6 linked regions of the Danio rerio genome follow. The protein of the gene in region 3 purifies or fractionates together with the protein of the main gene of each other region. This does not show direct contact. Links are inferred from orthologs where the notes say so. Each region holds a gene or a part of one and is shown on either strand. Other genes may lie near its edges. The genes, in order: abl1, ap2m1b, shc1, inppl1b, ret and gab2.

The links.
Region 1: the proteins of shc1 (region 3) and abl1 purify together in Homo sapiens (affinity purification with western blotting; 5 studies listed by BioGRID, with this or other methods). This does not show direct contact. The link is inferred for Danio rerio from reciprocal best matches to the Homo sapiens genes SHC1 and ABL1.
Region 2: the proteins of shc1 (region 3) and ap2m1b purify together in Homo sapiens (affinity purification with mass spectrometry; 3 studies listed by BioGRID and IntAct, with this or other methods). This does not show direct contact. The link is inferred for Danio rerio from reciprocal best matches to the Homo sapiens genes SHC1 and AP2M1.
Region 4: the proteins of shc1 (region 3) and inppl1b purify together in Homo sapiens (affinity purification with western blotting; 4 studies listed by BioGRID and IntAct, with this or other methods). This does not show direct contact. The link is inferred for Danio rerio from reciprocal best matches to the Homo sapiens genes SHC1 and INPPL1.
Region 5: the proteins of shc1 (region 3) and ret purify together in Homo sapiens (affinity purification with western blotting; 4 studies listed by BioGRID and IntAct, with this or other methods). This does not show direct contact. The link is inferred for Danio rerio from reciprocal best matches to the Homo sapiens genes SHC1 and RET.
Region 6: the proteins of shc1 (region 3) and gab2 purify together in Homo sapiens (affinity purification with western blotting; 6 studies listed by BioGRID and IntAct, with this or other methods). This does not show direct contact. The link is inferred for Danio rerio from reciprocal best matches to the Homo sapiens genes SHC1 and GAB2.

Annotation. Positions count from the first base shown.
Region 1 is NC_133180.1:78,532,862-78,537,862, reverse strand, and holds part of abl1 (tyrosine-protein kinase ABL1), read right to left. Parts: intron 3,607-5,001; coding exon 3,422-3,606; intron 3,000-3,421; coding exon 2,847-2,999; intron 2,462-2,846; coding exon 2,372-2,461; intron 2,130-2,371; coding exon 2,001-2,129; intron 1,923-2,000; coding exon 361-1,922; 3' UTR 65-360; coding exon of another isoform or gene 53-64; 3' UTR 1-52. UniProt on the Homo sapiens protein: Non-receptor tyrosine-protein kinase that plays a role in many key processes linked to cell growth and survival such as cytoskeleton remodeling in response to extracellular stimuli, cell motility and adhesion, receptor endocytosis, autophagy, DNA damage response and apoptosis.
Region 2 is NC_133193.1:48,980,213-48,984,827, reverse strand, and holds the end of ap2m1b (AP-2 complex subunit mu-B), read right to left. Parts: intron 2,661-4,615; coding exon 2,526-2,660; 3' UTR 1,012-2,525; downstream 1-1,011.
Region 3 is NC_133191.1:24,097,666-24,102,666, reverse strand, and holds part of shc1 (SHC-transforming protein 1), read left to right. Parts: intron 1-987; coding exon 988-1,223; intron 1,224-3,911; coding exon 3,912-4,040; 3' UTR 4,041-5,001. UniProt on the Homo sapiens protein: Signaling adapter that couples activated growth factor receptors to signaling pathways. Participates in a signaling cascade initiated by activated KIT and KITLG/SCF.
Region 4 is NC_133189.1:37,342,365-37,347,365, forward strand, and holds part of inppl1b (inositol polyphosphate phosphatase-like 1b), read right to left. Parts: intron 4,121-5,001; coding exon 4,034-4,120; intron 2,687-4,033; coding exon 2,579-2,686; intron 2,441-2,578; coding exon 2,352-2,440; intron 2,268-2,351; coding exon 2,180-2,267; intron 2,037-2,179; coding exon 1,881-2,036; intron 1,588-1,880; coding exon 1,506-1,587; intron 1,395-1,505; coding exon 596-1,394; intron 1-595. UniProt on the Homo sapiens protein: Phosphatidylinositol (PtdIns) phosphatase that specifically hydrolyzes the 5-phosphate of phosphatidylinositol-3,4,5-trisphosphate (PtdIns(3,4,5)P3) to produce PtdIns(3,4)P2, thereby negatively regulating the PI3K (phosphoinositide 3-kinase) pathways.
Region 5 is NC_133188.1:28,847,521-28,853,125, forward strand, and holds the start of ret (proto-oncogene tyrosine-protein kinase receptor Ret precursor), read right to left. Parts: upstream 3,420-5,605; 5' UTR 3,311-3,419; coding exon 3,256-3,310; intron 1-3,255. UniProt on the Homo sapiens protein: Receptor tyrosine-protein kinase involved in numerous cellular mechanisms including cell proliferation, neuronal navigation, cell migration, and cell differentiation in response to glia cell line-derived growth family factors (GDNF, NRTN, ARTN, PSPN and GDF15).
Region 6 is NC_133190.1:10,781,783-10,787,508, forward strand, and holds the start of gab2 (GRB2-associated-binding protein 2), read right to left. Parts: upstream 3,359-5,726; 5' UTR 3,190-3,358; coding exon 3,118-3,189; intron 918-3,117; exon of another isoform or gene 82-917; coding exon of another isoform or gene 1-81. Other genes in the region: uncharacterized protein, read left to right, coding at 1-81. UniProt on the Homo sapiens protein: Adapter protein which acts downstream of several membrane receptors including cytokine, antigen, hormone, cell matrix and growth factor receptors to regulate multiple signaling pathways.

The sequences.
Region 1 (5,001 bases), on a different chromosome or scaffold from region 3:
CTATACAAAAAATGCTCATGAGGAAGATCCATTGTGGGTTTAGCGTTTGCTGCTAAAGACTAGCCTAAAGTGCCGTCTGCTGTTAAACAATAGCCTAGAGCGCCGACTGCTGTTAAAAACTAATCTCAGAATAGATTCCAGAGAGAATAGCAATGCATTTTGAAAGTGGCAGAGTTGATTTCTTGACCTACTCTTCAGCACAGCTCTGCATCAAACGTTCCCCCTTTTGTGCACACAGTAATAAGACACTGAACAAACGTTCCTCTATTTGGCATGAGATAAGCTGAGGTGTGTTGAACTGAAATGTAAGACATGGCCCCAGACATCGAGATACTGTGTTTCCAGTGGCGCCGTTCTCTGCTACCTCTGCACGATGTCGCTGATCTCCTTGACGGAGCACAGCAGCTTTGAGAAGTCCTGCGGAGTGTTTGCGGTGCCGGTGGCCGCGGGGCAGATCTGCAGCTCGCGCAGGCTGCTCTCCAGCTTATTGATGGCTTCGCGGAAAGCAAACTTGTTCCGCATCTGCTGGATGGACTCCACGTAGCTGACGCAGTACTTGGACAGATTTTTCCCCGCCTCCAGGACAGCGCTGTGGCTGCCGGTCTGCTCGGAGACACGTGCAATGGCGGTACGCAGGAGCTCAGAGCTCTCCAACAGCATGTCTCGAGTGATGGTGGAGCTGGAGAGTCGCTCTGATGGCTGCCGTGCTGGAGCCTTCCTCAGTGAACGTCGCGTCGTCATCAGTGGGATGAAGCTGGATCCCGGATCCCCGACCACAGGACTGGCTCCCATTCCAGGTAGAGGAGCAGTCGCACCTGCCTTCGAGGGGTTTACCTTTGAGCCATTTTTGGGCAACTTTTTAGCACTTTCTTGGGATAGACTAGCCTTGCCTTGATCTGCGGAGTCTAGTGAACTCTTGACTTTGGTATCTGAAGACACCTCAAAAGTCGGACTCCTTGAGGTCTTTCCAGATTTGGCACTGGACACCGGAGGAGGAGGGGGAGCGGGTTTGGGTTTCGCAAACTTCCCCTTCTCCCGCTCTCTCTGTCCTGGGATTTCAGAGGACAGTTTGAGTCTTCGAGGTCTGCCTTCGTCTCCAAGAGGTGGAAGCACATTGGGTTTTAATACCTCTGTTTGTAAGGCACTAGTTTTGGAGCTTTCTGTTTGGGGTCGGCGGCCTAGCTTGGGAGTCAGAGTTAAAGGACTTGATCCAGGACTAGACTCAGAGTCCTTGAAGACTTCGTCTGAAACATCTTCACTTTTCTTGGGAAGGCGTGGTGGTGGGGTAAGCGTGCCACCTCGTGGCATGCAGCTCTTACGAGGTAAAGCTGGCTTGCCTCTGAATGTGTTAGAATCAAAGTGTGTTGACTGAATGTCCCGCGGCAGGGTTACGGACTTCCATTCGAAGCGATCAGAGCCTGGAGGCATGCTGGAGGAAGAAGAAGATCGTAGGAAGCGTTTGGAGTTTGACATGGAGTCCTCCTCTGGAGGTGGAGTCGTGGCAAGCTTCCCTCCACCACCCGATGTAGTGCCCTTTTTCCGTGGATGAGATGGGAAGAGCTGACCGGGATACACTGGAGCTCCGTTGGTGACCCCGATGGTCGTGGTACTGTTTGACCCAACTAATTTGCAAGGGTCAATGCTGTTTAAGGCATCATTGGTGGAAGACCCGTTGCTGAAATCCTCCCTGCAGTCAGTACCCAATCCTCTACGGTCTAGGTGTCCGTCCATCTTCCCAAAGGAGCTGCTGCGCTTTGGGGGCGCCGGAGCCGTCCTCTTCTTTTTCTTAATATAACTGAAGGGATTCATTCGAAATTTATCCTTATTATCTTTAGACTGGAGCCGATCATCTTCATTCAGGTTGCTATCTAGGAGTGGCCTCGGCATCATCGGGGGTCCAGTGACCTCGGCCTCGGCTGCGTCTGGAGAAAGTTTAGTTCATCAGTACAACTGCTCGATAATAACGAAAATAAGCAGAGGTCTGAGAGAGAAGAGCTTACCGGGACTGTCCCCATCCCTGCCGTCTGTAGGTCTTCGTAGTGTCCTGGTTTTAGTTGGAAGTTCTGGCGCCTGCTGTATTGGTCCCAGGGTCAGCTTCTTTCCTTTTTTCCCCAACTCTTTCTCCACCTCTGCAATGCAACAAGAATGAGGATGAGCCACCAGAGAGGTACAGATTTACAGTAAACTGAATGCATTATTAATGTAAAATAGTGCAGAATGCATAGATAGGGAACATCTGAATCCGTTACTAATTGTAATTTAGAGTTGACAGTAAGACAGTAACCTCAAATCAGACTCCACATGGCCATAAATACACACACATGGTGTTATTATTCAAAACAGTTTGATTAAAGATTTTGAAAGCTCATACCATCAGAGATACTGGACTCTTGAAACATGGTCTCGAACGCCTGATGGGTCTCAGCAAAAGAAGGGCGCTCGGCAGGGTTCCACCTCCAACCTAAAGACAGAAACACTACAGTCATACAGGTTTACTCACTGGGCTCCATTTTAACGATATAAATGCACTTGGAGCAAGTCTGAATCCACTTTTACAATTTTAAGGATGGGAAAACTGGTCTAAAAGGGATGTCCTTACGTCGTTAAAGAGTCATGGGTGTGCTTTGAGTGTAATATGCATTAAACCAAGCAGATTCAATTACCTTTAGAAGCAAGCTTCAATTGCACCAAAGCAGATTTGCCATATAAACAGGGCACAGGACGTTAAAATGAAACCTGCGCTGAGCTGATAAAAGCTAAACAACACTTGCATTGCACAGTGTGCATGATAGGGTGTCACTTTGTCTACTCTTTCTTTCAGAGATTGTGTAGAAGGATCTGCTTACAGGCCCTCATGAGCTCATAGACTTTCTCTGGGCATCCCTCGGGTCTGTCCATGCGGTAGTCTTTCTCCAGCAGCTCATACACCTGAGACAGGTCGATTCCTGGATACGGAGACATCCCATAGGTGGCGATCTCCCAAAGCAGGACTCCAAATGCTGAAGGAGGTCAAATCAGAGGATCAGTTTCTCACACATGCATGTCTGAATGTGGAAAGATGGCTCAGTGGACATGGCGAAAACACTTTAATTAATTATTTTATATTATATACAAATATAATTTTGAAAAGGTAATACCTTCTCCATCAATAATATGCATAGCAATTTATTAATTGTTTATGCATTAAAACAGCATTCAAATATATCCCAACAATGCCTGAAGCCACAAAAACGAGAGGCTCCATTAACTACATTTGCAGTACAGTTTATAAATAACTTGAAAAAAGTAAGACAACTAAATAAAATGAGTTAAATGTTGAGACAAAAGAAGGTAAATGAGAGAAAACACAATGAAAACATAAAACTACTGTAAACATCATTTGTAACAGTGGAAGTGTGTTCTTTTGTCTGTCCATGCGTACCCCACACGTCTGACTTGATGGAGAACTTGTTATAGGCCAGACTCTCCGGCGCAGTCCATTTAATGGGGAACTTTGCTCCAGCGTGGGCTGTGTATGTGTCTCCCGTCATCAGCCGGCTTAGCCCAAAATCTGCCACTTTAACCAGGTTGTTTTCCCCGACCAAGCAGTTACGGGCTGCCAGATCCCTGAAAGATAAACCAGACCGTCAATTCACTCTAATTGTAGTGAAGTCCCACTATAGTCAAGATTTTAGCTGGATGAGGCGGCCAAATATGGATCAGATTTTGGTTAGAAGATCAAGAGTGGAAAAAAGATTCTCGATGATGAGCAACATGGGAAAATCAACAAGCCGGAATCAACAACAAAGCCAGATTACCATTAGATAATTGACACTGGGAAAAGACTAATGTTTGGAGACAAGTCCTGTGCTCTGATGGAGTAAGATTGAACTGTTTGGCCATAACGAGCAATATGAGGACAAAGGGGAAAGCTTACAAGCCTAGCAACACCATCCCAACTGTGCAGTATGGGGGCGGCAGCATCATGTTGTGGGGCTGTTTTGCTGCAGGAGGGACTGGTCCACTTCACAGCATAGATGGCATCATGAAGACAGAACATTATGCAGAAATACTGAAGCAACATCTCAACACATCAGCCAGGACATTACAACTTGGCCACAAATGGCTCTTCCAGACAGACCATGACCCTAAGCACACTGTTAAATGAGTTCAAGTGTGCTCTAAGGACAACAGAGTGAATGTTTTGGAGTGGCCATCACAAAGCCCTGATCTCAATCCTATAGAGAATGTGTGGGCAGAGTTGAAAAAGCTTGTGTGAGCAGAAAGCCTACAAATCTGACTCAGTTACAGCAATTCTGTCAGGAGGAATGAGCCAAAACTCCTGCAAACTATTGTGAGAAGCTTGTGGACGGTGACCCAAAACATCTGACCAAAGTTCTACAGTTTAAAAGCAAAGCTAAAATACCAAGAAAATGTGTGTTAACTATTGACTGTCTAGAAATTAATAAACAATTCTCTCATTATTCTGGCATTGAGCAAATGTAAATCATTTAGTTAATCCTAACAGACCTAAAATAGTGAACATTCAGGATCATTTACCATCAGATATTTTTCATGCTCCTTTTATAGAGTTTATGTACACTTCTGCTTTCAACTGTACTATTCAGAATCAAACATATACATGTACTCACTTGTATAACATGTAGCATAAACAATGACTGACAGTCATGCCATAATGGTGTGCTTCATGATTATCCGACCATGCAGGAAACTATTATTAAACTTAAGTTCCTAGGACAGGCTTTCTGACACTATTACTAAAGCTGGACATCAGTCTTCTAATCGCATTTAGGGAATATGGACAGTATTCAACACCGCTTCAAGCTCTACATTGCAATAAATGCTTAGAGTTTTGGACTAGAATCAAGACATTATTAAGCAAAAAATATTGTCTTATATTTAGAAACAATGAGTCAAAATTAAGTGAGTTTTCCCTTTAAACAAGCGAAATAATCTGCTGATGGAGACTCCTGTCACTGTTCATCTAGAACTCCACATCTA
Region 2 (4,615 bases), on a different chromosome or scaffold from region 3:
CCTGTCCATCCCTGCTGCAGAGGGAAGAAAAACCCAGAATGTTTCACAACGTGCGAACCACGCCTTCAGACCACCAACTATCAGACGACCACAACAAATACAAGGCTTTATAAAAGGTATGCGTTGCTGCTTTTATGAAGTTTTCTTCTTATAATTTTTTTTTTAAAATATAAAAAAAATAAATGCACTTTTTAAAGAGCTTCTCAGAATATTTGAAGACATCATCACCACTTCAAGTTGTAATCAGAATCAAACCTTTAACTTAATAAACAGTTGCTGATAAACAGTTGTAGTTAAATAAGTCAATGGAGCACAACCATGCAAAAGTTCTCTGAAAAGCTCGAAAGTAACTAAGCTTAAATGAATAAATTTATTGAAACTATTCATCTGATTTCTAGGACTGATTGGGAGCACATTTAGCTTAGCTTAGCATAGATCATTGAATCAGATTAGACCATTAGCAACTTTCTCAAAAGTAAAAAGTGTTTCAATAAATTCCCTATTAAAAGCTTGGTTATTCTGTAGCTACATTGTGTACTACAGGGCAATGATATTACGCAATGCAATGCCAGTAAATAGTCCGCAGCTATGTATAAGTGCTTCGTAATATCATTGCGCCTGCTGCAGCAAAGTCCCTTGATTGCTGCGCCAGAATAGTTCTCAGCCATATCGGCATACAAAATAGCAACTTTTTATTTCTGTTGGACATATTATATGACGTAACTACAGAGTAGTCAAGCTTTATATAGGAAAATATATATATTTTTGAATTTTTGAGATGCTAATGGTCTAATCAGATTCAATTGTCTATGCTAAGCTAAGCTAAAAGTGTTTCCAGAGATCGGCAGAATGGATAAAAAAAAAAAAAATGGTAAAACCGTTTAACTATAGGGGGACTTGCAAAATGAGCCTATTTCCAAACAACAGAGAGGGAGAGTATCTTTAAAGATGGCTGACAAAATGGGAGAACTTGTATGCAGGATATATAAAAAAAACAAACACTACTAAGAGTAATTGATTACACATTTTATTAGGATCAAGACGAAAGTCACAAAGTTACCAAATGAAGACAATACGCTGTAAACGGAGCCACATCATCTCTCAGAGCAGCTACACACTGAGGTCCGACCACAAACGATCAACAAGAAGCTCATTTAAACCTGCAGGGTCGAGTCTGTAGTGTTGGCTGTAGCAGAATGTAGATCACACAAGTGTAGAGGGCAGAATTCTCATCAACAGCAAGGTCATTTCCTAAACGGTGCGTCGCTTAACTAAAACGCCTTTGCATTAGGATAAATCCTCTGGCTATTTGGCAGAGTTTATACACACATGAAAGGAACCAGTGCAGTGTTCAAGACCTTAAAGGAAGACCTGCTTTTATGTTTTGACATCTCCAAAATCTCCTGCCTTAGATCAGGAGCAAGGAAAGAGGTTTAGAAATCATCCCTGGGAACAATCAGAGGGACTCCCTAATATTCCAGCCCCCTCTCCTCTTATGTATTTAGTGAAATGCGCCTTTTTGAAGTTGCATTTGCTCCACAAAACTAATCTCAAGAGGAATGTTGAAATGCAGGGAGAGATTTGACCCAAGCAAAAGACGGACTCGGTGCACTTGACAAACTCAAGCGGTAAACTTCAGTCAAGTAAACAAAGTGGTAAACGACCATGAGAGTCACTGAACGAAGGTTAAGCACACAAATGCAATGTCCCTGAGAGATGTTGGGGACCCCGGACTCTCACACACATACACACGCACACACAAACCAGTCACTATATGACACCAAATGAAAGCTGGACTCCGTGTTATTGTTTTGTTACGGTGTAGATAGCAGCGTATACGCACACAGACAACTGGACATAAGCACTAGTACAATTTGTTGCTTTAAGTCAACCACCCTCGCACCTCCTTTTGGTCACATTGAGAAATCATTTTAGAAATTAAATCGAAAATGTAACATCTGCATATGTAAAACTTGTACCCATGGGGTTTTTGTTGGCTTAACGTTTACACTAATTCACTGAGAACAAGAACGTGGACGATACCCAACTAATACGCCACTACGAAAATGAAGCATGAAGGTTATTTTAATATGATCTCCAGATTTGGCGGGGATTAGAGTGGGAAATGTCCACATTGATAGCGCCTGCGAGCAGGAACACAAGTTCAGTGATAATCACCGGATAAAAAGAGGCCAGAGCCCCACATGAGCTGGGCTTCAATGGGGACTGGGGGTCTGGAATGCATGTTGTGGAATAAAGGAGAACCGAGTGGAGGGGGGGGGGTTACATCTCATCTCATAATAAGTGAACTTCTTTAGGGGTACATGATGATTAACGTCATTTTTATAAGTGCAGATGAACTTCACCTCATGTGTTTTGTTCTTGTTTTGATGGGTATTGTTTTGGATTCCCTTTGTTGATGTTTTGGCTGTGAACAGAGTCCCGTGTAAAGCGCTGAGGAAGGGAGAGCGAGACTATGAATATCTGCTCGCCGTCTCTCCCTCCTCCTCACCGAGGGGCTTCTGTTAGCAGCGGGTCTCATAGATGCCGCTGCGGCCGATGTAACGCACCCATTTGATGACATCATGGTCGCTGTAGTTCAGCTTCGGCTCGAAGACCTTCAGGTAGCGCACTTTCAGCCCTGATGGAGCAAAGGGTACCTAGAAAAGACAGAAAACTATTTCAGCAATGCAAATCTCTGAATAAATCAATGAAAATACTTTTGTATTAGCATAAATGACAAGCCAATTGCACAGGACATACAAAATATGGGTCCCACTGTATATTAAAGGTGCAGTATGCAAGTTTGACACCCAGTGGTTGACCTAGGTATTGCACCCCTGGTTCAAAACACACGCAAGAGCTGGTTGCCAGACTGACGACACCAACAAAGTTTTTTTAGGTCATGCTCTAACTAAAAGCCAACATGATAGAAGAAATATTTTCCATATATATATATATATATATATATATATATTAGAAGCGGCTTCTATTTTTTTTGCAACTGAACAACAGAAAAAACTGACAATGATCGAGATGGGTCTGGCTGCAGACCTGGTGCAGTGCAATCTGGGCTGCATACAATGCTTTTTAATGGGCCCACCAAACCCCACCCCTAATCCTACCCTTCACAGTGACGTCACTAGCTCCATTTGAGTGCATTGTGTCTCACATTGCATCGCTGAGTGATGCAGTCTCAGCTTGCATCATAAAGGCTGCATCCAGATACTATTGCAATGATCAGCACAGGTACACCTCATGTGCTTTATTCAGTGTTAAATGCTAATAATGTGAGTTTGAATGCCCTTTGACATGACGTTTATTGCCATACTACTGAAAGCAGCAGCATAGTTCACCTCAGATCCTAAAAATAAAATAAACCGTTTAAAATTAAACTTTAGAACTGTGACAGTGCAAACCAATACATATCAGTGATTCAGCATCTATATTTAATAACGTTAAAGAGGTTTAATATGCATTAATTAGATTATAAAGCTTACCCTTGCATTGGAGTGCAGCAACTGTTCTATTCTGTGCTTCTGAATGGCTGTAATTAAATTTCTGTCGTGTTTCGTCTGGTGCAACCAGCCAAATTGCTCATCACTGCAAATCTCATCACATAATTTGTTAGGACATGAGGTTACAATGTAACCTGCTCACCTAATGTTTACGTTCATAATATTTATATTATTTGCTATATAATAAAATCATGTGGAACTCTGAATCTGCATCTCATTTCGGAGACTGCAACTGTCCACCGGAGGATGCATTTGGCTCATGGATGCATGCTTTCAGAGCCTTCATGACTGAATGAATCACAACGGCAACCCAGGGTGCTGAAATTTAATTGGCTAAACCAGCAGTGGGCGGGTTAATGGGACCAAAACAAAAACCAGCCCTACCGGCACATAACTCACATTTTCAAAGCAAAATATCTGACTTCAGCATTGCTTTTCAGGTACACAAGAATGTTCACTAAGCATGTTTCCTAAATATTTGCAATCATATTATGGTATTTTTATGCTTCAGAAAAGTCAAAAACTTCCATACAGCACCTTTAAGCATCCTTAAAGGGATAGTTTACCAAAAATGAATATTTTGTAATCATATAATCACTTAACTCGTTCAAAAGCAATTAGTTTCTTTCTTCTATTAAACATAAAAGAAGATATTTTGAGAAATGCTTGTAGCGGGCATCCATTGACCTCCATAGCAATTTGCTTTCTCCTATAGAAGTTGATGGGTGCCAGCAATGAGCATTTTCTAAATATCTTGTTTTGTCTTCAACAACCAAGGTTTAAAACCACCCCTTAAATTACTATGTACTTGCTATGGGTACTATGTATCCTTATTATGTACATAAATGTTTTTACATTGTACTTCTATTTGAAAAATCATCAGCATGTAATTGCATTCGTTCTGTAATTACATGTAAATTTATGCTGTAGATATGCTGTAGTATATGGAAGTCAATGGTTACAGATTTGCAGCTTATATCTTCTTTTGTGTTCAACAGAAAAAAAGAGGGCAAGTAAATGATAAGTTCATTTTAAATCCTAAACAAGACGTTTTGTTGACGTCAAGTCAGTGTCTGCATGTCTGAATGGGGTCATCG
Region 3 (5,001 bases):
TTATGAAGGCTGAAAAACAGCGTTGATACGTTTGGAGCAGTTCACTAGATCCTTTCAGAGGTGCACCCAGCTCTGTGAGCTCATAAACTCCTCTAGAAACTTAAACTAGATGATGGAAGCATTTAGCGGTGCTTCTGACTGAGCCAAGCCCAGTTGATGAACTGTTGTTGGTGTAGACAGGGAATTTTCCCCCGGGACACCAACAACAGGCGCTACGTCATAATCACGTCCACACAAGAGCAAGCTCCTGATTGGTAAACGCGGCACGAATGTCCGCTGAAGTTTAGATTTTTGAACTTGAATGATTCATGCGAAAAGCGAGTCAAACGCGCAAAACATTCAATTTGCGCCGTGCCATTCACATGTATTGAGTCATTTGCTTCGCACCATGCCATTCATGCATATCACGGTGCAGGATGTCTATTCACGCCTTTGCCTTGACTTAACATGTAAATCATTCCCACTTGATGCTTCTTCCATGTCTGGTGTGAACACAGCATAAAAGTATAGTGTCCCCTTAACTTCACAGGGGCATTAGGGTTGAGTGCCCCCTGCTGCTAGTAACAGTATTAATTTGTTGAAGCCATGTTATACTAAAAAAAACAAGCAGACAAAAACTTGTGAAACAAATTTGACAAATTCTTTGTAACAATGAAAAAATCTTCATTGTCTGTTTTGTTTGTTTTTTATCGTATTGACCCCACATTTTTGTACAGGTTTCTATCATTTTACAAAACCAAACATTCAATAAAAACCATAAAGCATAATTTAATGAATAAAGTATGGACCTAATAAATTTTACGCTTGATGATAGCTTATTTACAATTGAATGTGGTAAAGCAGGGTAGTATGCTGTGTTTTTTCCTATTTTGAAAACAATACTTTGGTTTACTATACTTAGTAAATTAGTTCAGTAATACTGCAGATGTAGATTCACAGAGTAAAAATGCTCCAACCATCCAGTGATGCTCTGCTTTCTTTCTTCAGAACCGTTTGATGCAGCGCTCGTTGTGTCGGGTGCAGTGGCACTTCCTCTGGCAGAGCAGCTGCAGAACGAGCCCTGGTTTCACGGGCCTCTGAGCCGCAGGCAGGCCGAAAGACTCCTGACCAAGGATGGAGACTTCCTGGTGCGGGAGTCAGGCACCACACCAGGCCAGTACGTCCTCACGGGACAGCAGGGCGGACAACCAAAACACCTGCTTCTGGTGGATCCAGAGGGAGTGGTGAGTAACAAGACGAAATTTAACCACACATTATTCACAGGTAATAAGTGACTCTTTGTGAATATGTGATAAAGTATAGAGTATGACATAGTCTGTGTCCAAAATAGTACACTATGCAATCTGTACTGTGTACTTATGCATTTACACATTCAACAGAATAGTATAGGTATGTAGTGTCGTCCTAAAAGTAACACTAACACTTTTTTTTACTTGGCAGAAATTCAAAGCTTATCCCAGATAATGGTTGACGATTGTCAAATTAATGAAATAAATGACCGAACTACCAAATAACACCTGCCATGAGTGTAACCGCATTCACCATCGGAAGTCGGTATAATCATCGTAGGAGAATTTTACTTTCACAATCCAAAATAAATAAAGTAATCCAACATCAGTGCTCGAAAACTCCGCCCCTTCTGCTTCTGCGTCCATCATTCCACACTTATTTTTAAGTTAAATAAGTGCAAAATCAGGGTATTAAAAGTTCACTATTCAGTGAGAAGGCACTACTTACACCATTTATACCACAAAATGGTGTAGAATAGAGGATAAGTATGTGATTTGGGATGCACCTATAATCATTTTATGACTCCACACGCTTCTTTGATAACAGAGTGACATAATACAATCTAATATTGTTTTTTATTTAATTATAAACAGAATTCATGTGTGGGTAAAATTTACCTGCACTGGCGGTTTTCGGTATATTGACCTCAGCGTATTTTGTTCTAGTGTTAATTTGTTGTGCCATTATAGACCATTTTAATATGGTGATGACATTAGCCCATGAATAGTTTCTCCTTGTTGTATAGTTATTTTATAACTGTAACAGAGGAATTCAATCATAACTTTACTCTAAAACAGCTATCATAATATTATTTATCAATTTGTGGACCTATTTGGATTCTCATAAGGTATGGAAATGAAAAATGTAAGAGGAAATACTTTAGGACTAGTGTTATTGTTTATATCCCTCAAAATGGTCTATAAAAGAACGCTAAAATGTATTTAGTATGATAATACTGCGTTGCTTTACTCCACGTGATCCGACCAGAAGAATTGGAAGCAGTTGACTGTGGCATAACAAAAGCTCAGCTGCTTTCCTGCCACATCACGTCCATCTCTTATCAGCAATTGCTTCAGCAGTCTCATTTCACTTCAGTGGCTTTCAGTCTTGTAGGGTGTTCACACCAGACATACCTTGCATGAGTACATAACATTATTCACATGGAATAAGACACTTGAACATTTTGAGTTTACTCATTTGATTCGGACGTGAAATTTACTTCACAAAAGATGCAAAATCATTCCAGCTTTGTTGACAGATTTTTTTGGGAGGGTAGCTTTGCTTTATGTGAAAAAAAAGGCTGAATGGTGCAGTTTCTGGGTCCATCAAATCTTTCAGAGTCACATCCAGTGTAGTGATTTTTACCAATTCCTTCAGGAGCTGCACCTGTATGATGACAGCTACTAGAGCAAGACTAGATGATTGGTTAATGCTGCTCGAATGTGCACCAAAGTTCAGATTTTTTAACCTGAGTGATTTGAGAAAATCACACATTAAGCACATCGACTTAAAGTGTTCGAATATTTTCTCAAATGGGTAGCGACTTGGACCCGGAAACAGTGTTCCATACGTCACCGATACATCACGAGTGGATAGCCCCTTTCACATATAGAGACCTTTCTGAAAAAGGGATCATGTGTGAACAGACCCTTTTTGAAAATACCGGTAAATTCATTCCGGCAATTTTCTGGAAAGAGAAGTTGTAACATCACTGGTAATTTGCCGGAATGCTCTGTTTGAACGCAGGGGGAAAATTACAGAAAAGAGCCCGTTTGCGTTCAAAACGTGCTGACGTGAGACGTCTACTCCAGCCAATCTGGACATTCAGATGCATTCAAATCCATGCTGCTTATGAAAATAAAAGCCTTTGAACATTTTTCCAGGCACGTTTAGCTGCTAGATGTAAGTCAGATAACATTTCTATGTTCCTTCTTAATGCCAACTGTGTAAAAAATTTGCGATAAAATGCTTATGAAAAAACGCAGTTTGTTTACCTTCAAGCTCTGCTTCAGTTGCTTGATGTGTGCTCCGCTGAGCGCCAGCACACACACATATGTACATCTCGACATGCGAAAGTGTTCCTTCATATGTTTGCATCGAAATTGTTCACAATACTTAGCCATCCACAGAATTTGTAATGTTGTCAAATGTGTAAATATTTAGCTGCCATTCACGCTTCCTTCTTTGGATGTCTCTGGGACAAAGCAGCAGCATGAATGCTAAAGCTTGGATGCTACATGCTAAATACAAGTGAAACCATCAACAAAAGCCTGACCCCGTATATGTTTACAAATTCAAGTGCAAATGTTTAGAGGTAATTTCTAGTTAAGGATGTCAGAATTTACCAGCATTTTGAAATGGATGTGTGAATGGTCTTTTTTTTCTTTTTTCAATTTACCATTAAAGTCATTGCATAAGTTTTCTGGATATTTACCAGTATGACTGTGTAAAAGGGACTATTATGTACATATACTATATATATTTTTAATAGATTGACGATCAGTCATTAATAAATAGCATCCTAAATAGGTAAAGTTTGCCAGAGTTATGCATTTCCAATTGAATTTTTATCCGTATAGCGCGTTAATATGCCTTGTATTCTTTCCTTTGCCATTTCATAGGTGCGCACCAAAGACCACCGCTTTGAGAGCGTCAGTCACTTGATCAGCTACCACATGGACAACCGGCTGCCAATCATCTCTGCAGGAAGTGAGGTGTGTCTGCAGCAACCGGTCGATCGCAAAGCTTGAGAAACGCTTTAGAGAGAAATAGAAACTCTCCTTCATACCTTTTTTATTTTTGCCTGACTCTATCAGAGAAACAGTTTTTGTTCCAACTGGGAGTGTAAGCTAATCCCATCGTCCCAGAAACACTTGAGTTTTCTGCTGCATCAACCACCGGCCGTGAAATTACAAAGCGATGTAATCATTCTATTCAAAGTCTAAAGCAAACGTCGCTTGAGGAAAGCGATTGCAAAAAGCCAAACGAATAGGCTTCAAGAAGAGGAGCAGATGCGTAATGGATGTGACATCACTTCCTTCCCAGTAACCATGGCAACCAGCCAGGGCATTCTTGTCAAGAGCTGATGTGAATGTAGTAAAATTGCAGACCCTTTGTAGCACTGGAAAGATTCACATGCAGTGCGGTGGGCCAAATCCAAAGACACGTTAGCGATTAGTTTTTAAATCCTGTCGTCGCTGTGGTTTCAAGACTGTTGATGAATATGCAAAACTTTAAAGACAACACAGCTCATTCTCCATCAACTGAACCACATCTGTTGTCATTTCCATTGGAAGATCCCTTTTCCCAGTGTTCCTATTGAAGAATAACACTCAGAATGCCACTCATTCTCACTCACACCACATGCCGAACACGATCCCGTGGAGAAATTGGGAATTTTGGCCATTCGGGAAGACCCCTGATCATATGTGAAAGCTTTAGCAGCTCGGATGCTGTCTGGATTTTTTGTTGCCTTATGCAATTGAGCAGATGCTGTGAGGGACATATGCTGCCCGTATTAGGTGTGATAAACTGGTCTGTGGGAAAGGGGAACATGTTCGCTTTCCACACAACATCAATCTGGGACAAAAGGGATGAGAGAAAATAATATCTAAATGAAGTGCAATCTGCATAGATGGGCTGGTAAGCTTGAATGGGACTGTGGTTTGAGATCAAAGCCTTCTTATGATGTCATTTTAGTCAAGAATTTAT
Region 4 (5,001 bases), on a different chromosome or scaffold from region 3:
AGACACATGGCCTTTATCTGTGCTGCTGTGTTCGCCATATGTTTAAAATCCTCTGGATTACCGGCAGGGTTAATGGTTGGAATGTACTGGGAAAGAGACTTGCTGCACTGCTATCCACTGTGTCAGCTTTCAGACCTTAGGATTTAGGAGGAAAGAAGTCCTCCTCATTTATATTGTTATTTGATTATCTTTATAATCATATAACAAATTGGGGTTATGTGTATATGAAATTCCAAATAACAAATGTAGCAGGGCATTAAATTACTGATTGTTTCTTTGTATTAAACTTTGTAAATTATAAAGTCATGGGTCTCCTCACGCTTTGTGTCTCACTTTGTGAGCCAACTGACAACAGCTGTTCGCTCCCACTTTTTTCCCTGCTCTGCCGGCCACGACAACTCCTCCCTCTACTCACAGAGCTCCACGCCCATTATGAAGCATTTTTTGAAAAAATTCTGAGGTAGACTTGAACCAAAAAAGTGGGGTTTCATGGCCCTTCAAGCCTTTATATACTTTTATCACTAGTATATTTGAAAAATATCTATTAAAATATTATGTACTGCAATCATGGCGAGATGAACATTACCCAACTCACCTCTTTCTCCCAACTGTAGTTTCTCTCACTAGCTAAGCCATAATCATACCCATGCTGCCTTTGTTGAGACGGCATTTGATGAAAGGGATACTTTTTGTCTGCTGGCTGAAAGTCCACCTCACTGAGTGATTTAGCAATCTGGAGGGCTGTGAGTGAGTTGTCTCCTGAAGCTGGAGTGGGCTGCTCTACTATCCAGGAAGCTGAAGACTGGGCAGGAACTCTAGTGGACACATAAGGATACAGCTTTGGTCCATTTCGGATTGGCACAGGCCGACCTTGGTGCACCCCTTGATAGTCTTGTCTGACTTTTTCTTTATGCATGTCTCTAGAAAAAACTGAATGGTTCATATATGAGTTTGTAAGTTTTTTGCCTGATAATTCTGAATCCGGTGCCATATTGTTCTTATGGGACTGTAGCTGTAAAGATGAATTTGAGGAATGTGTGGTGTGTCTTTGGTTTGGGGATGTACTAGGGACATGTGGACCCGGAAAAAGCTGATAAGAGGATGCAGTCGATGAAAGTTCACTCTGAGTCTCGCAAGATGGTTTATAGGGTGCTAAGGAGCCAGGAATCTCGATTTCGGTGAAGTCGGACCTCCTAGCAGACCTTTTGCCATGGCCGTGGCTTCCAGTCACTCTAGGCAGCTGTATCACAGTGTTATTAGCACATACTACTTGGGATTCTTTAATAGTTGAAGGAATCTCTTCGGCTTTCCGAAACACAGGCATTTCCTCAAAGATGAAGTATGCAGGATTGGTGTAGCTGTTTGGAGATGCCACATATGAGGCTGACGGTGCTCTATAGTGCAATGATGAAAAGTAAATCAGGGTGACATTTAATAAAAAAACCAAACAGTGATTACCATAACAAAAAACCCTATTTATTAGCTTTGTGCTGCTAGTCACTTACTTGATAGAGAATGCACTGGAAGAAGGGGGAGACAGTTGGTCCTTCATCATTTCCCTCTCATCCTTCTCAATGCTGAGCCACTCTGTAATGTGCACAAGAAATGCCTTGCGTCAAACTGTGTTAATACTGCAGACATATGTGGTAATGCCACTGTTCATTCAGTGAGCAGCATGGTGAGTGTCATATTTCAGTGAGGTTTCAGGATGCATCTGGACAACATCAGGCAACTGCACGCCAAAAGAGGAAGAAATGGTAGATAGAAAAGTGAAAACAGAGCCAAAGCAGAGGAGGAACTAAAACTAAAAGAAATGTAGGGTGGGTGAGTGTCTATGGTACATTTGCAGAAACGATATAGTAAAAGCACGGATAACCCACCATAGACTCTTTCCCGGATCCTTCGGCGGTCTGGTGGTACATATACTCTGAATCGACCTCGAATAGAGCCCATCTCTTCACCTCTGTGGGTCAAGCATGTCTCAAATGTGTCCAATAATTTCCCTGCTGTTGGGCGAAGAGCCACACAGCACTCCCCTAAAATGTTAAAGAAAGTGCTCTCAAATCACCTGAATTAAACTGTTTGCTGTGTTATGCTCTTGGTTATGAGGTAAATGTTTCTAAAAACCAAACAACTGTTTCAGAGGAATTTCTTTCAGAAAGACATTATGACCATGTACCATATGACTCAAAGCCATCACATGACTTCACAGACAACAGCAAGTGCTGATCCCGCAGATGCTCTAAATCCAAGAACACTGGGTGAAGCTGTAAAAAAATAAGGAAAAACAAATAAGAAATCCTCATTAAGAAGCATAGTTAAAATGAACAGAAGGTGATCTCGGACTCAACCTTGGGCAACTGTTTTGAAGACCAACCAAGTTTGAGAAACCCTGGCACCTCACAGTACTGGGAGTCATTTTCAGCTGATCGACGAGGCTCTACAAAGAAGAAACATGATGGTGACAAAAAGAGCTGTCACATATATCTCATGACATACAGATGTTTCAAAAGAAAACCAGACAAGCAACATACCATTGCATGCTCACTCTCCTCACTGATTATAGCAAAAAACATACCTTCCAGACAGCGGGAGTGGAACTCGATGAAAAACTTGGCCTTGCTAGAAGTTTTCACTATAGCCTCAATCGCCTCCAGTTCAATGCTGGCTCTCTCTGAACAGGACTCTGGAAAAGAGTATATATATATATATACAAATATATATATATATATATATATATATATATATATATATATATATATATATATATATATATATATATATATATGGTCAAGATCATCACATGCATAGTAGCAACTAGTGCTCTCCAGTGTCAACAGCATTTACCATGCACTCATGCCTTATGTTACATGGAAAGTATAAGTACTGTTGCTGAACACGGATTACAAATATAATTTATAATTCAGTCCACCCAAAAAAGTCAACTCTATCACTATTTATTCACCCTTATGGTTAAATAAAAGATAAAACATTTATTTTTTCCATTGCAAGTCAGTTCAACCAAAACGTTGACCCATCAAAAAGTACATTTATAGATTAATCAAGCAGTTTAATCAATTCATTCATTCAGTCATTCATTTTCCTTTGGCTTAGTCCCTTTACTCATCAGGGGTCGCCACAGCGGAATGAACCACCAGCATATGTTTTACACAGCGGATGCCCTTCCAGCTGCAACCCTATACTGGGAAACACCCATATAATCTTACATGCAGCACATACACTACGGCCAATTTCAGTTTATTCAATTCACATATAACGCATGTCTTTGGACTGTGGGGGAAACCAGAGCACCATGAGGAAACCCACGCAAACACAGGGAGAACATGCAAACTCCACACAGAAATGCCAACTGGCTCACCTGGGGCTTGAACCAGCGACCTTAATGATGTTAGGCGACAGTGCTATCCACTAAGCCACCGTGATGCCTGTTTAATTCATTTTATGAAAGAAAACATCACATATGTAATTTTGGCTTTAAGGGATGGTTTACCCAAAAATGACAATTTCGCCACTATTTAATCATGCTCAAGTGATTCTAAACACAACACAAGATATTCTGAAGAATGTTGGACACTCACAGTTGGAAAAAAAGATGCCTATGGCAGTCAATGGCTGCTTCTTTCCAGCTTTATTCAAAATATCTTACTTTGTGTTCAACAGAAGATAAAAAGTGGAGGGTGAGTGATGATGAGAGAATTCAAATGCTGGGGTGAACTATTACTTTAATTTACATTTATTCACTGACACTTATCAAAAAGACTTGGAATGACATGAGTATGAGTTAATGATGACACAATGTTCATTTAAAAAAAATTTGTGCGCTCTCCCTTAATGAATGACCTTTAGGGCCTTCACATGTTGATGCAGTGGAAACAGGCTTGATATTAGTGGCAAAAGGAAATGGTTGTTCCTTAACAAAATGCTTGTTTAGCAACTCCTAATATAACTCAAGTTATGAAATGATCTAAAGGGCAAAAACTTCAGATTCAAAGTCACAGGCAGATTCCCATACCAGTTCTGGGAAACTGTGATATGACACCCACTTCAAAGGTTGCAAACACAGGAGAGTGCTCACTGGTGAAGATGTCATCTGTACACCCTGAAGAACAGAACCAAAAGAAAAATGACATTTAATATAATATAAATAAAAAGACTTATACATACACTCACCGGCCACTTTATTAGGCACACCTTACTAGTACTGGGTTGGACCCCCTTTTGCCTTCAGATCTGCCCTAATCCTTTGTGGCTTAGATTCAACAAGGTACTGGAAATATTCCTCAGAGATGTTGGTCCCTATTGACATGATAGCATCACAAAGTTGCTGCAGATTTGTTGGCTGCACATCCATGTTGCAAATCTCTTATTCCACTACATCCCGAGGGTGCTCTATTGGATTGAGATATGGTGACTGTGGAGGCCATTTGAGTAAAGTGGATTCATTGTCATGTTCAAAAAACAAGTCTGAGATGATTAGAATTTTATGACATGACACGTTATCCTGCTGGAAGTAGCCATCAGAAGATGGGTACACTGTGGTTATAAAGTAATGGACATGGTCAGCAACAATATAGGCTGTGGTGTTGACACGATGCTCAGTTGGTTCTAATGGGCCCAAAGTGTGCCAGGAAAATATGCCCCACACCATTACAACACCACCAGCCCGAACCATAGATACAAGACAGGATGAATTCATGTTGATGCCAAATTCTGACCCGAATGTCACAACAGAAATTGAGACTCACCAGACCAGGCAATGTTTTTCCAATCTTCTATTGTCCAAATTTGGTGAGCTTGTGTGAATTGTAGCCTCAGTTTCCTGTTCTTAGCTGACAGGAGTGGCACCCGGTGTGGTCTTCTGCAGCTGTAGCCCATCTGTCTCAAGGTTCAGAGATGCTCTTCTGCATACCTCAGTTGTAATGAGTGGTTATTTGAGTTACTGTTGCCTTTCTATCAGCTGGAACCAGTCTGGTCATTCTC
Region 5 (5,605 bases), on a different chromosome or scaffold from region 3:
AACCCTAATCCTAACCTCAACTCCAACCAAAGTCTTAGTCTTATCTAATGAGAATTGGTTGGTATGTAGATGCAGTGTAACTGAACTTCAACAAACCATCAAATTAAAGTGTGACCCTCTATTAATTTAAACTCATTATTTACTCTCAAGTTCCAAAAATGTTGGAAGCCTGTAACCATTGACTTCTATTTGTTTTTCTACTATGAAAGTCAATGGTTACAGGTTTTCAGCTTTCTTCAAAATGATTAAAAAGTAATGAAAAAAATTTATTACATTATTAACAATTTCACAGAATCATTATCATATCAAACATCTGCTAGATTCTGCATTTACTTGCATATTCTCAGTGCAGGTTACATGTAATCTAGATTACTTCATCAGATAATCAAAAATTAAGTACATGTAATTTCAATATATAGCATTTAAACTGTTTATAATCTAATTAAATAATCTTTTATAGAATATGTTTACAAATTATTCACGCAATGTCATTTATTCATAATTCATTGATTTTAAGAGATTCTATTTTTCTCTAATACAATTTCCTTTATAAAAAAGAATTCTACTGTATATGTGTAGATTATCAAAGCATTATTTGGCTTTGAAAATTGACATGAGCATGGAAAATCAGTTTTGTGAACCCAAGCTTTTGAGTTTGGAAACCAATTTTTAAAAGAAGTAAACAAGTTGAAAGTAATCAAAAAGTATTCCCAGTAATCAGATTACATTATTTAAATTAGAAATTTAGACTAGATTACTGGCTACAATTTTCATGATGCAGTTTGCAATCAGTACCATAAAGTTCTTAAGTAATCTACACATATCTACATATTTTTGTAGCTTATTTTATAGCTCACCATTCATTTAAACTTACTATGTACTTACCCTCAAGTTGCCCCAAAGCTGCAAGAGTTTTTTTCTTGTTGAACACAAAAGATGTTTTTTTTTTTAAATGTTGGAAACCTGTAACCATTGACTTCTATTTGTTTTTTCTACTATGGAAGTCAACGGTTACAGGTTTTCAGCTTTCTACAAAATGATTAAAAAGTAATAAAAAAAATTAATTACATTATTAAGAATTTCACAGAATCATTATCATATCAAATATCTGATAGATTCTGCATAAACTTGCATAGTCTCAGTGCAGGTTACATGTCATCATGATCACCTTATCAGATAACAAAGATTAAGTACATGTACACCCACAAGTTGTTCCAAACCTTCATGAGTTTCTTTTTGTTGAACACAAAAGAAGATATTTTGAAAAATGTTGGAAACCTGTCACCATTGACTTGCACAGTATTTGTTTTTCCTACTGTGGAAGTCATGGTAACAGGTTTTCATCTTTCTTTAAAATATTTTGTTTTGGTTTCATTAGAAGAAGGGCAATTATAAAGCTTTGGAAGTGAGTAATGTTTGATTAACTATCATTTTAATATGCATTGAAAACCTCATTCAATCATGACAAACAACGCAGTATATACATTTATCTAGTAATATCTTGATCTACTGTAATGCACCTTGCAAGGCGAAATGATTCAATTTAAGTTGCTCAGGAAAAAAACTGCAGCATATCTGATTTTATTGGGTTTATTAGGCAGCTGACTACATGATGAGTCCACATGACCATTAAAATGCAATTTCCCATTATTATTAGACTGCAAGATTAAATTAACATCTGAAAGCATCTTTGGTTGTTCTCTTACTTTTTGACTCATAAGTAATATTCATTCAGTTAACATCATCCTTGCCATCCACTAACAAAGACAAATGCAACACTTTTGCATTCACACACTGCCAAATGTCTTCCGAATGACCGGAATAGCTGTGAAACCTCTGCTATGCTCCACTTTTGTCTGTATTCAAGCTGTCACGATGCAACCATTCCTTTTTAATGCAGCTGACCACACACTGAGATTTAGGATCTATTCAGGAACGGGTTCAACTCTAGTTATCTGCAGTTATTTTGAGAGATGTGTGTTAGTACAGTTGGGCACAGGGGTTTTAAGTGGGATTATAATATATTGATGTATGGACACAAGCGTGTTGCTAGCATGGACCATGTGGTACATTAGGATTGTACATATTTTGTCTTTGACACTATGAAACTGTCTGGTCAATTTCTCTAGAAGCGCTCAGTTGTCTGTGTTTAGGGACCGAATGCAGACCCCATGGATATACAGATGAACTCTTTGTTGTCTGCTGAGCAGAGTTACATTTAAAACATGATGCAAAATGAAACACAACTTAAAATTATTATAACTAAATATAAAATGGTAAAAATGATTTGCCTTTATTACACTGAAAAGTAGGGTTTAGGTTCACTTTGAAACCAGTTTTGCTTAAACATGGCAAATAACACCCCAAGTACACTTAAACATAATTGTTTACATAATTAAATTAAATCCATAGTTTCCAGGAAGCAAATTTAACTTGTTATTGAACCATTGCTAAAGTATTATCAATAACTTTTTAATAATTAAACAGAATAAAAGTTTGTCCATCACTTAAAAATGTCTTTGAGAAAGAAAACCAGTAGACAAAACATTTGCAAAATGTTCTTAATTTACTGCGTTTCGGTATTTATAGATTAATAAAATTCATATAAACTGAAACCTCAAATACGAATATATATTTAATGACTTATAAAATTATCCAAAGCAAAAACAAGTAGAAAAACTTATGCTATGAATTCTTATATTCATTGTTTGGACCATGGCTTTGTCTTAAAACCTATTGCGAGCTTCCCATCTACACCCTCGAACAGGTTATTTTTCTGAACATTGGGTTCATTAAAGGACCCTCCAGTTATATATAAAAAAACAATTTATACTTTGAATATTATAAAAGTTGGCGGTTCATTCCGCTGTGGCGACCCCAGATTAATAAAGGGACTAAGCCGACAAGAAAATGAATGAATGAAGATTATGAAAGTATATTTGCGGGTTTCTTGAATGTTGTATAAAAATTAAGACAACAGAAATGAGAAACCATTTCATCTGAGAAGCAACATGCAGTCTATGTAGGCTGCTTTCCAGGGTTTTGACACACAACCCCGTGTTGTCACTGGTTACTAAAGGATGTTCACTAAAGGCGACAATTCAGTTTAAGTTAAAATACGACAAGTGTGACAGTCTCTAGACAGTCATTCACCAGCTCTGCCTCTCAACACAGTTGTTTATCCCACACAGTGATGGCTAAAGAGCGGACAGTTCGCGCGAGGGCATCAGGCTATTATGGAGTATAAACCCTTACCTTCAGACAGGAGAAGCAGGAGCACTCCCCACACGATTCCCCGCGTACTTCCCATAATTGTCAATCATAAGTGTAATGTCACAACGAACAGGTAAAAGTATTTTGATTCCTGACAACAGAACTTTGCCTTGTTTTGATTCGAGCGAAAGGAGCCACGAAAGTCCTCAACGTGAGTGTCCCATTGACGGGCGACTGCGGCGCGAGCTGCTGGACCGTCCGCGCGCGCGCGCTCACTCTCTCTTACACACACAGGGAGGGAGAGAGAGAGAGAGAGAGAGAGAGAGAGAGAGAGAGCACAGCAGGGGGAGGTTCACATCTCATCCAGCCAATTTCCTCAGATGTGTGTTTATGTCCTGAATCACATCAGCGGGTCTCCAATGAGCCCAAGACTTCTTCCTGAATTAAAACGAAATTTTGAGGACATGCAAATAATGTGCTCGTTAAAGGTGTCTCCAGTGTGACTTCTGGTTTCCCCTTACCTGTCATATTATTAAGAATTAATAGTTTTAGATATACCGATTCCCTTGCAGTGTAAAAGAGCAACACTGTTTAACTTTATAGTATCATTAATCTGTAGCCTTTACAATAATCAGTAACTGCATTAATGCCTACACTTCAGCTTGCTGTCACATAGGGAAATTGACAATTGGACTATAAGTAAATTCTTCAGAAAGTTAATATATGCCTATACATGCCTATAAAAAACTATAACTGCATTATATTAATTATAAGGTAATTAACACAATATAACATTTCGATTTTTAAAAAAAGGAAATGTCTTAATGTTCAACAACAACAACAAAAAAGTGTTTAATTCTGACATCTTATACAGCAGCATGAGAGCATGATGATTTGGGGTCATGTTTTCACACAAGATCAATATATGTTACATGAACTATGTATTTTTTCCTCGTCAATAACAGTGAAAATGAGCTCTGAAGCCAAGTCTTCACATGTCAATATAGTAAATGATGTGTAACTAGCCGCTCTCTTCTTCAAAAATGCTCATTCACATATAATAATTAAACAGACTCTTGTATCTACGTACATAAAAATGAAAAGGACTTAGGGAAAAGTGAAAACAGGGTGCAGTTAAAGGGATAGTTCACCCAAAAAAGAAAATTCTGTTGTCATTTACTCATCCTCCACTTGTTCCAAATGTGTACGAGTTACTTTCCTATTTAAAACACAAAACAAGATATTCTGAAGAATTAAAAAAGAAGATGGCAATAGCTGTTTTCCCCCAACATTCTTTAGAATATATTGTTCAACAACTATAACAAAATTGTATTGATTTTATTCTTCATGTATACGAGCAGAAGCCAGCATTTAAATCGTTTTAGCTCAAGACTTCCAGTCTTATTTACTTCCATTCAATTTTAGACATTAAAAATAGCTTGTTATGCTGCTTAATGTTGCAAACTAATATTATATTATTATACTTTTTATGTATAGTCATGAACACACTTGTTTGTTGAGCAAGTACTCTGACCGCCTTCTGCCATTCATAGTAATTTCTCACACAGGAACTGAATCGGGAAGTTCTTTAACAATCGCAAAAATGAGCGCACTTCAGCATTTCAGAATATAGTCAATAAAAGTTTAGAACCATTTGAGTTATGAGTCACTGTTCCTCATGAGGAAGCAAGAAACGTCCCCAGAACAAAAATGTACTGGTATCACTATACTGACATATGGTACAGGTGAATTGGGTAGGCTAAATTGTCCATAGTGTATGTGTGTGAATGAGTGTGTATGGATGTTTCCCAGAGATGGGTTGCAGCTGGAAGGGCATCTGCTGCGTAAAAACATGTGCTAAATAAGTTGGTGGTTCATTCCGCTGTGGCGACCCCGGATTAATAAAGGGATTTTTTATGAATGTAAAATGAATCAATAAATAGCTGTAATAAATAGTAAAAATTGATGAGGAAATGTATTTATTTTGTTTTGTATATTAATTAATTCAAGTGTCTTTCGAATATTGTCAAGGATTCAGGTTTGGATGAGGGTTACAAAGATCATTTCACCAGCCAGGAACAGTTAAGGACAAGACTCTTGAAAGTGATTTTGTGCTTCTCTGTAATGGAGAAATAAGATTTGTCAAACTAATTCACAATAAAATAAACAGAAGAAGTAAATGAACTCTCCTTGCAGGAACGTTTTATTTGTTCCCCAAAAACAGTTTAATATGAATCAGGTGCCAAGCACAATGCTCAACAAACACAGCCACATGGCATTCTAAGTACAAACCACACCAAAGACTATTGTTCCTTTCATATTAAGAAATGATCAGAACAGCAGTATTGGAGGGTTGCTGTGAGCTGAAGACAGTTTGAGGCCGGTTGTCTGT
Region 6 (5,726 bases), on a different chromosome or scaffold from region 3:
AAGGATGGCAAACGTCCACATAAACCATCTGTGGTGGAACGTCCAGTGCAGAAGCTGGTCCTGCTGATGGAGGCAGCCTGAACATACTGACATATCCTTTGAGTAAACAGTTCATAGTAGTATATGTTTTAGTGTTGTTTACATCTAGTCTTAAATGGTTATAGTAGTAGTAGTAGTAATTATAATTCATTTAAAATCATTCGTGATTAAAAGGTTAAAATTCATAATCACTCATGATTGGTGGGAGTGTAAATAACCCCAAGTTATTTAAGTTAGGTTTCAGTGTTAATTATTTATGCCGCTTTTAATTACTTCTCTATTTCTTTAAAAATTGTTGTGTTTTTGTTATTTATTTGAACTCCGCTTTGCACTAAGTTATTTAGCCTATAGAGACCCTTATTTTGACGCGCGGCTTGCCGGAAGTGGTCAGGTGCGCGAGAGCGCGCAGATCACGGAAGCAGGGAGATCGGAGAAGCGCGCCTAGCACGAGGGAGAGCGCGATCGCTTGTACAGAGAAATGCACGGAGCTAAAGTTAGATTTAAGGACTGATTTAAAAGAGATTTAATGCATATTTGAGTTTGTTTTTTGTTCTGTTCATCTTCATTGTTTGAACACCTGGTTGGAAGGGAGAACAAGGTAGATGAGGACATTTTTTATACATATTGCTAAAATTTGATGCATTTGTTGGCTTGCTAATAATTTAAATTGCTATTTTATCGTAAAATTAGTCATATATTTGCAGATACTTTATAATATTGTCACTAAGTTTATTGTTTTGTCTTATTATGTGAATTTTTATTCATTATATCTTTTCTATTTGTGTTTATTCATCTGTTCTTAGCTCTTACGGTGTTGTACAGTCTTTAAGGACGGCAAATGCAACAATAAAGGCACAAAGGAGGACAGTGCAACATCAGTGCATGAGTTTAATCCTTTTATTTCTCCAACCGGGCTGTTACAATCACTTTAGACATTACGCAAGATAATCATTCAAACTGCTCTAAAGTGACGTTTGTAAACTGCCAAAGGTTTCTGCTGTTCTGACGTCAGCTGCAGATGTGAATGGCGGAAGAAAGTAGTTCCTTGTACAAAAGAGTTTTTGAGAGTCCCCGTGTTTGAATACACACAATTTAGCTGTCGAACTGTTGTATAAATGCAATATCACACTCAGAGCTTATTTATACACAAAATTTTGCTGTTGAACTGTTGTATAAACGCAATATCACACACGTAGCTTATTTATACACACAATCATGCTGTCGAACTGTTATATAAATGCACTATCACACTCGTAGCAAGATTACATTGTCAAAAATATCTTGGTTCACATGAAAATTCAAAAACTACAGAATATTCTATATCTGGCCAGTGGCCACATAATACGCTTAAATGGAAACACAATTTAGATGATTTGAGATTGCACATCGGTTCTGTTCTATGATCGGTAGTAATCTCAATGCGATGGCCAGAGGGCACTCTTGCACAGAAATACAGATTAAATTGAAATAAACGCAATATTGTGTGGTATGTCAGCAAACTACAGGTCTGTGTAGTAAATGCTGCTCTATCTAAATGCACCAGCTAATCATGGAACCGGCGTTACTGACAAAATGCAGACAAGTAGGCATGAGACGATAACAGTTTTCTAGGTATACCATGGTTTGGAAAAGTCAAGGTTTTAAAACCAAAATGTTTTACTATACCGTTCTTAAGGCATGTGTATGATATTTTACTTATGTTTTATTTAGTTTTTTTAGAACAACATATTTCCAGCAGAAAAAGAAATACTTTGTAATAGAAAAATAAATTTAGTAAAGAAATGCTATGCTGCTGTAGTGGAAACATAATACATGCAAATGACATCACCGTTTTCATTTAAATGAAGGTCAAAATGTATGGTGAGTAGACCGAAATGAAATCGCAATCAAGCAAAAGCTGCTATTCTCATGCACATCTTGTCAGGGAAGCACAGTTGTGTGATTAGTAGTAAATGTCCTTAAAAGGCCAGAGGGTGCTTCACTTAAAAAAAAAGACTTCAAATACCCATACAGTTGGGCACACAAGATTGAACTGTGTTCATGAATTTTACATGACTAATATAAGCAACTGAGTACTGACTCACCTCTCAGAATGTTTATTAAAGCTCTTGAATTAAGTTATGAAGTGAGTTTGGAGTAAAATGTATGTTATTAAATGTGATATTTTTACATGATTTCAGATGAGGCAGCAGCAGCAACAACACAGAGCCATATTCACAAAGAAGTTATACGCAGTTATTCTACATATTATTGCAGAACTATTCTCTTTTTAATCAATTATTAGATGTTTTAATCACCTGATATTTTGAACGTGATTATGCACAGCTTGTCAGTGAACTAGGCTCTATGACTAGAACCGGCTTTACTTACAAAATGTACATGAAAATCATCTTTAATTAATTGTAGCTAATAAAAGGGTAAACACTGCCTAAGTAACGTATCGTACTTTCTATTTCCATGATTACAAACTAAAAGTGTCACACAGAATAACATTTGGCCAATGACATCATATAACAGGTCATGTGATCATAACATTGCACCACCCACTCTATAAATTAGAATTCTAAAAAGGCTCTATTAAACAATCTTCCAAACCTTAAATTTTTAAATATTTACCACACAGCATTCCATAAACTAATCCAAACTTAGAACATCAACTGGCCACCTTTTGATTTTAGCAACTGTACACTTCTCAAATGTCATGAATAGGCTTCTATACTGCATAACAATACAACAGCAATCAGACACTGTGCTCTCTAAATAATAGCATCATCATATACATGTTAAACAAAACCAGTCTGAACTGTTTTGCTGGTCTCCCAGCCTAATCAGCTTGGTTTGGTCGCTGGTCTTAAATGGGCTTCATGCACTTGCTACTGTAGCATCAAAACAACTGCTTTGCTTCTAAATAGTCCAACTTAAACCAGCAAACTGTTAATAAACACATTTCAAAACAGTATTTTCTTTTCTTAGAACGACTATGTTGCAAATAGAGAGTTTGATGCTAAAAGTTGACAGTTTTCCTCCTCATTGACTCAACATAAACCACAAAATGAACATAGCGCTTTAAACACTCACATATCTCCGCAGCTTCTTCTCGGGCGGCGACTTTCTCAACCATCCCTGACAGATGATTTCTCCTCCGCTCATTTTACAGAAAGCAAAAAACACAATCAACAGCAGCAGATCAGTCTGAAGTCCTCAGATGCTGCGGGTCCATGTATGTTGAGCGCGCGCGGGGCAGTGCCGTGGATGCGGAGCTTCATTTACTGGTGATGGGACGCGTCCTGTGCGCGCTGCGGGACTCTGTGTAAACACTGCGGGCACGAACGCTCGAGTTGCTGAAGATGTAGGAAGTGTTGGTTGTCTGCTGTTTGTTTTCCCACTCACTCGCACATACACCACGCCCACTGTGTTCAAGGGACGGGACTCTTTCTCTTTGCTGTAGGGATGAACGGAGACAATGAAGCGCAAGTGTGGAGTTCGCCACACCGGCTGTTTTATGTGTAGTTGGTGTCTTTATTACATTACACCCTCTTTTGGTGGGTTTGTGTAAAGTTTGTAAGGGTGTCTGAGACGTTCAAATGTACTTTCGTGGACGGAATAACTCGGTGTTGTCAAATGAGCCGCAACAGAGCGCACTGAACGTGTTCTCGGGATTAGAAACAGCCGTCGGTAACTTCGCCCAATCTGTTGATTAGTTTGAGAAACACGTCACCTTGTGGACTGGTGTATGTAATGCACAATTTTGCTCTCAGTGCTGGTTGATTATTTACAAATAGTAGTTTTCATTACAAAAAAATATTATGTAAAATAGGCCTAATAATGTAACACACAGGCTAATTAGGGGAAAGCGGGTACGAAAGTAAAATTTTTCATAAAAAATCTAATTTTAAAACTGTTTTTAGCAGAAATACTAACCCACAAGAGTGTTTTATCAAAACCAAGTGCTATTTTGTATCGGTGTAGAACAACTTTAATATAACTTCACTTTAAACAAAGTTGCATTGTTACTTTTGACCCCATCGGTAAAGTAACAACTATATTTGCTAGATTTACTTAATCTTATTTATTTGAAATATATTTCACTATGACTTTGTTAGTATTCAAAACAACATATTTTGTCCTTTATTTTTGCAAAAAATATTTTTATTTTACATTTCAGTTCAATCAAATGATTCAAAAGCAAACCAAAACTGCAAAATGTTACAATTTTCTAAAATCTTAGTTATTTTCATCAATTATTATTGGCAATGTTAATTTTTATAAAAGATCTGAGTCCAAATACTGCAAACTCTAATGTGAAAGAAAAAAATAAGGTTTGTCTGTTGGCTGTGGGACATAAATAGCAGTGTTGCTTCCGTCCCCACAGGGTATCTGGCCATTTAAATCTGAAATAGAAAAAAATAAAATCAAATGTACTACCTTTTTTTTTTTTTTTTTACTGTATATTAGGGATGAAAACATCCACTGAATTAAACTGCTGTGAAATGCATCAGATCATTTGTTTTAATTTTTTAATTTTCATTTTTATTTATTTATTTATTTATTTTTTATTTTTTGCATAAATCTGGTAATCAACCTCGGTCCAGATCAAAACAACTAAATTGTTTAGAAAATTACAGGATTTTAACTCTTTAATTGTCAAATTCATAAATAATCACATTGATTTGGTGAAAAAAAACAAAAACAAAACACACACACACACACACACACACACTAAATGACATATCTTCCAATATAAAAAGTAAATGTGGACTGGATTTTTTTACCCTTTATCACAGTCTTGAGCATGTGAATGATTAGTAACAACATTGGCTTTGTTGCATTGTTAGATTGTTTTGTAATAAAAAAATTTTTTTTTGGTTACAATGGAAGTCAATGGGGCTTTTGTATTAGTCAATTTGACCGTTTAGTTTTAATTGCCCACAAATTCTGATGTTTGGATTAAAAATTAATAGACATTTGGCATTTACATAGCAATTCTACATTCTGAATAAAACTAAACAAAATATTTGAGTTTCAAAGAGGAACATTTTAAAATAAAAAAGAATTTGCAAAATATAAATAATTTATTACATTTTCTAAACAATCCACAAACAAATAACTATATTTAACTTTAAGTATTTGTGAGCCTGGCCCACAAAACCAGTATTAATGTTGCACAGGCATATTTTTTTTTGGCAAAAGCACAAATACATTGTCTGGGTAAGAATTACAGATTGTTCTTTCATGGCAAAAACAATCATTCGAATATAAATAAAGCTCATTTCATGCAGACATTCTGTAAATTACCCACTGCAAATGTATATATATATATATATATATATATATATATATATATATATATATATACATATATATATATATATATATATATACATATATATATATATATATACATATATATATATATATATACATAGCCCCCTTTTGATTTAGATTTTTTTTTAAATATTTCCCAAATGATGTTTAACAGAGCAATGACATTTTCACAGTATGTCTGATAATATTTTTTCTTCTGGAGAAAGTCTTATTTGTTTTATTTCGGCTAGAATAAAAGTAGTTATTAATTTTTTAAAAAACATTTTTGGGACAAAATTATTAGCCCCTTTAAGCTAATTCTTTTTTGGATTGTCTACAAAACAAACCATCATCATACAATAATTTGACTAATTACCCTAACC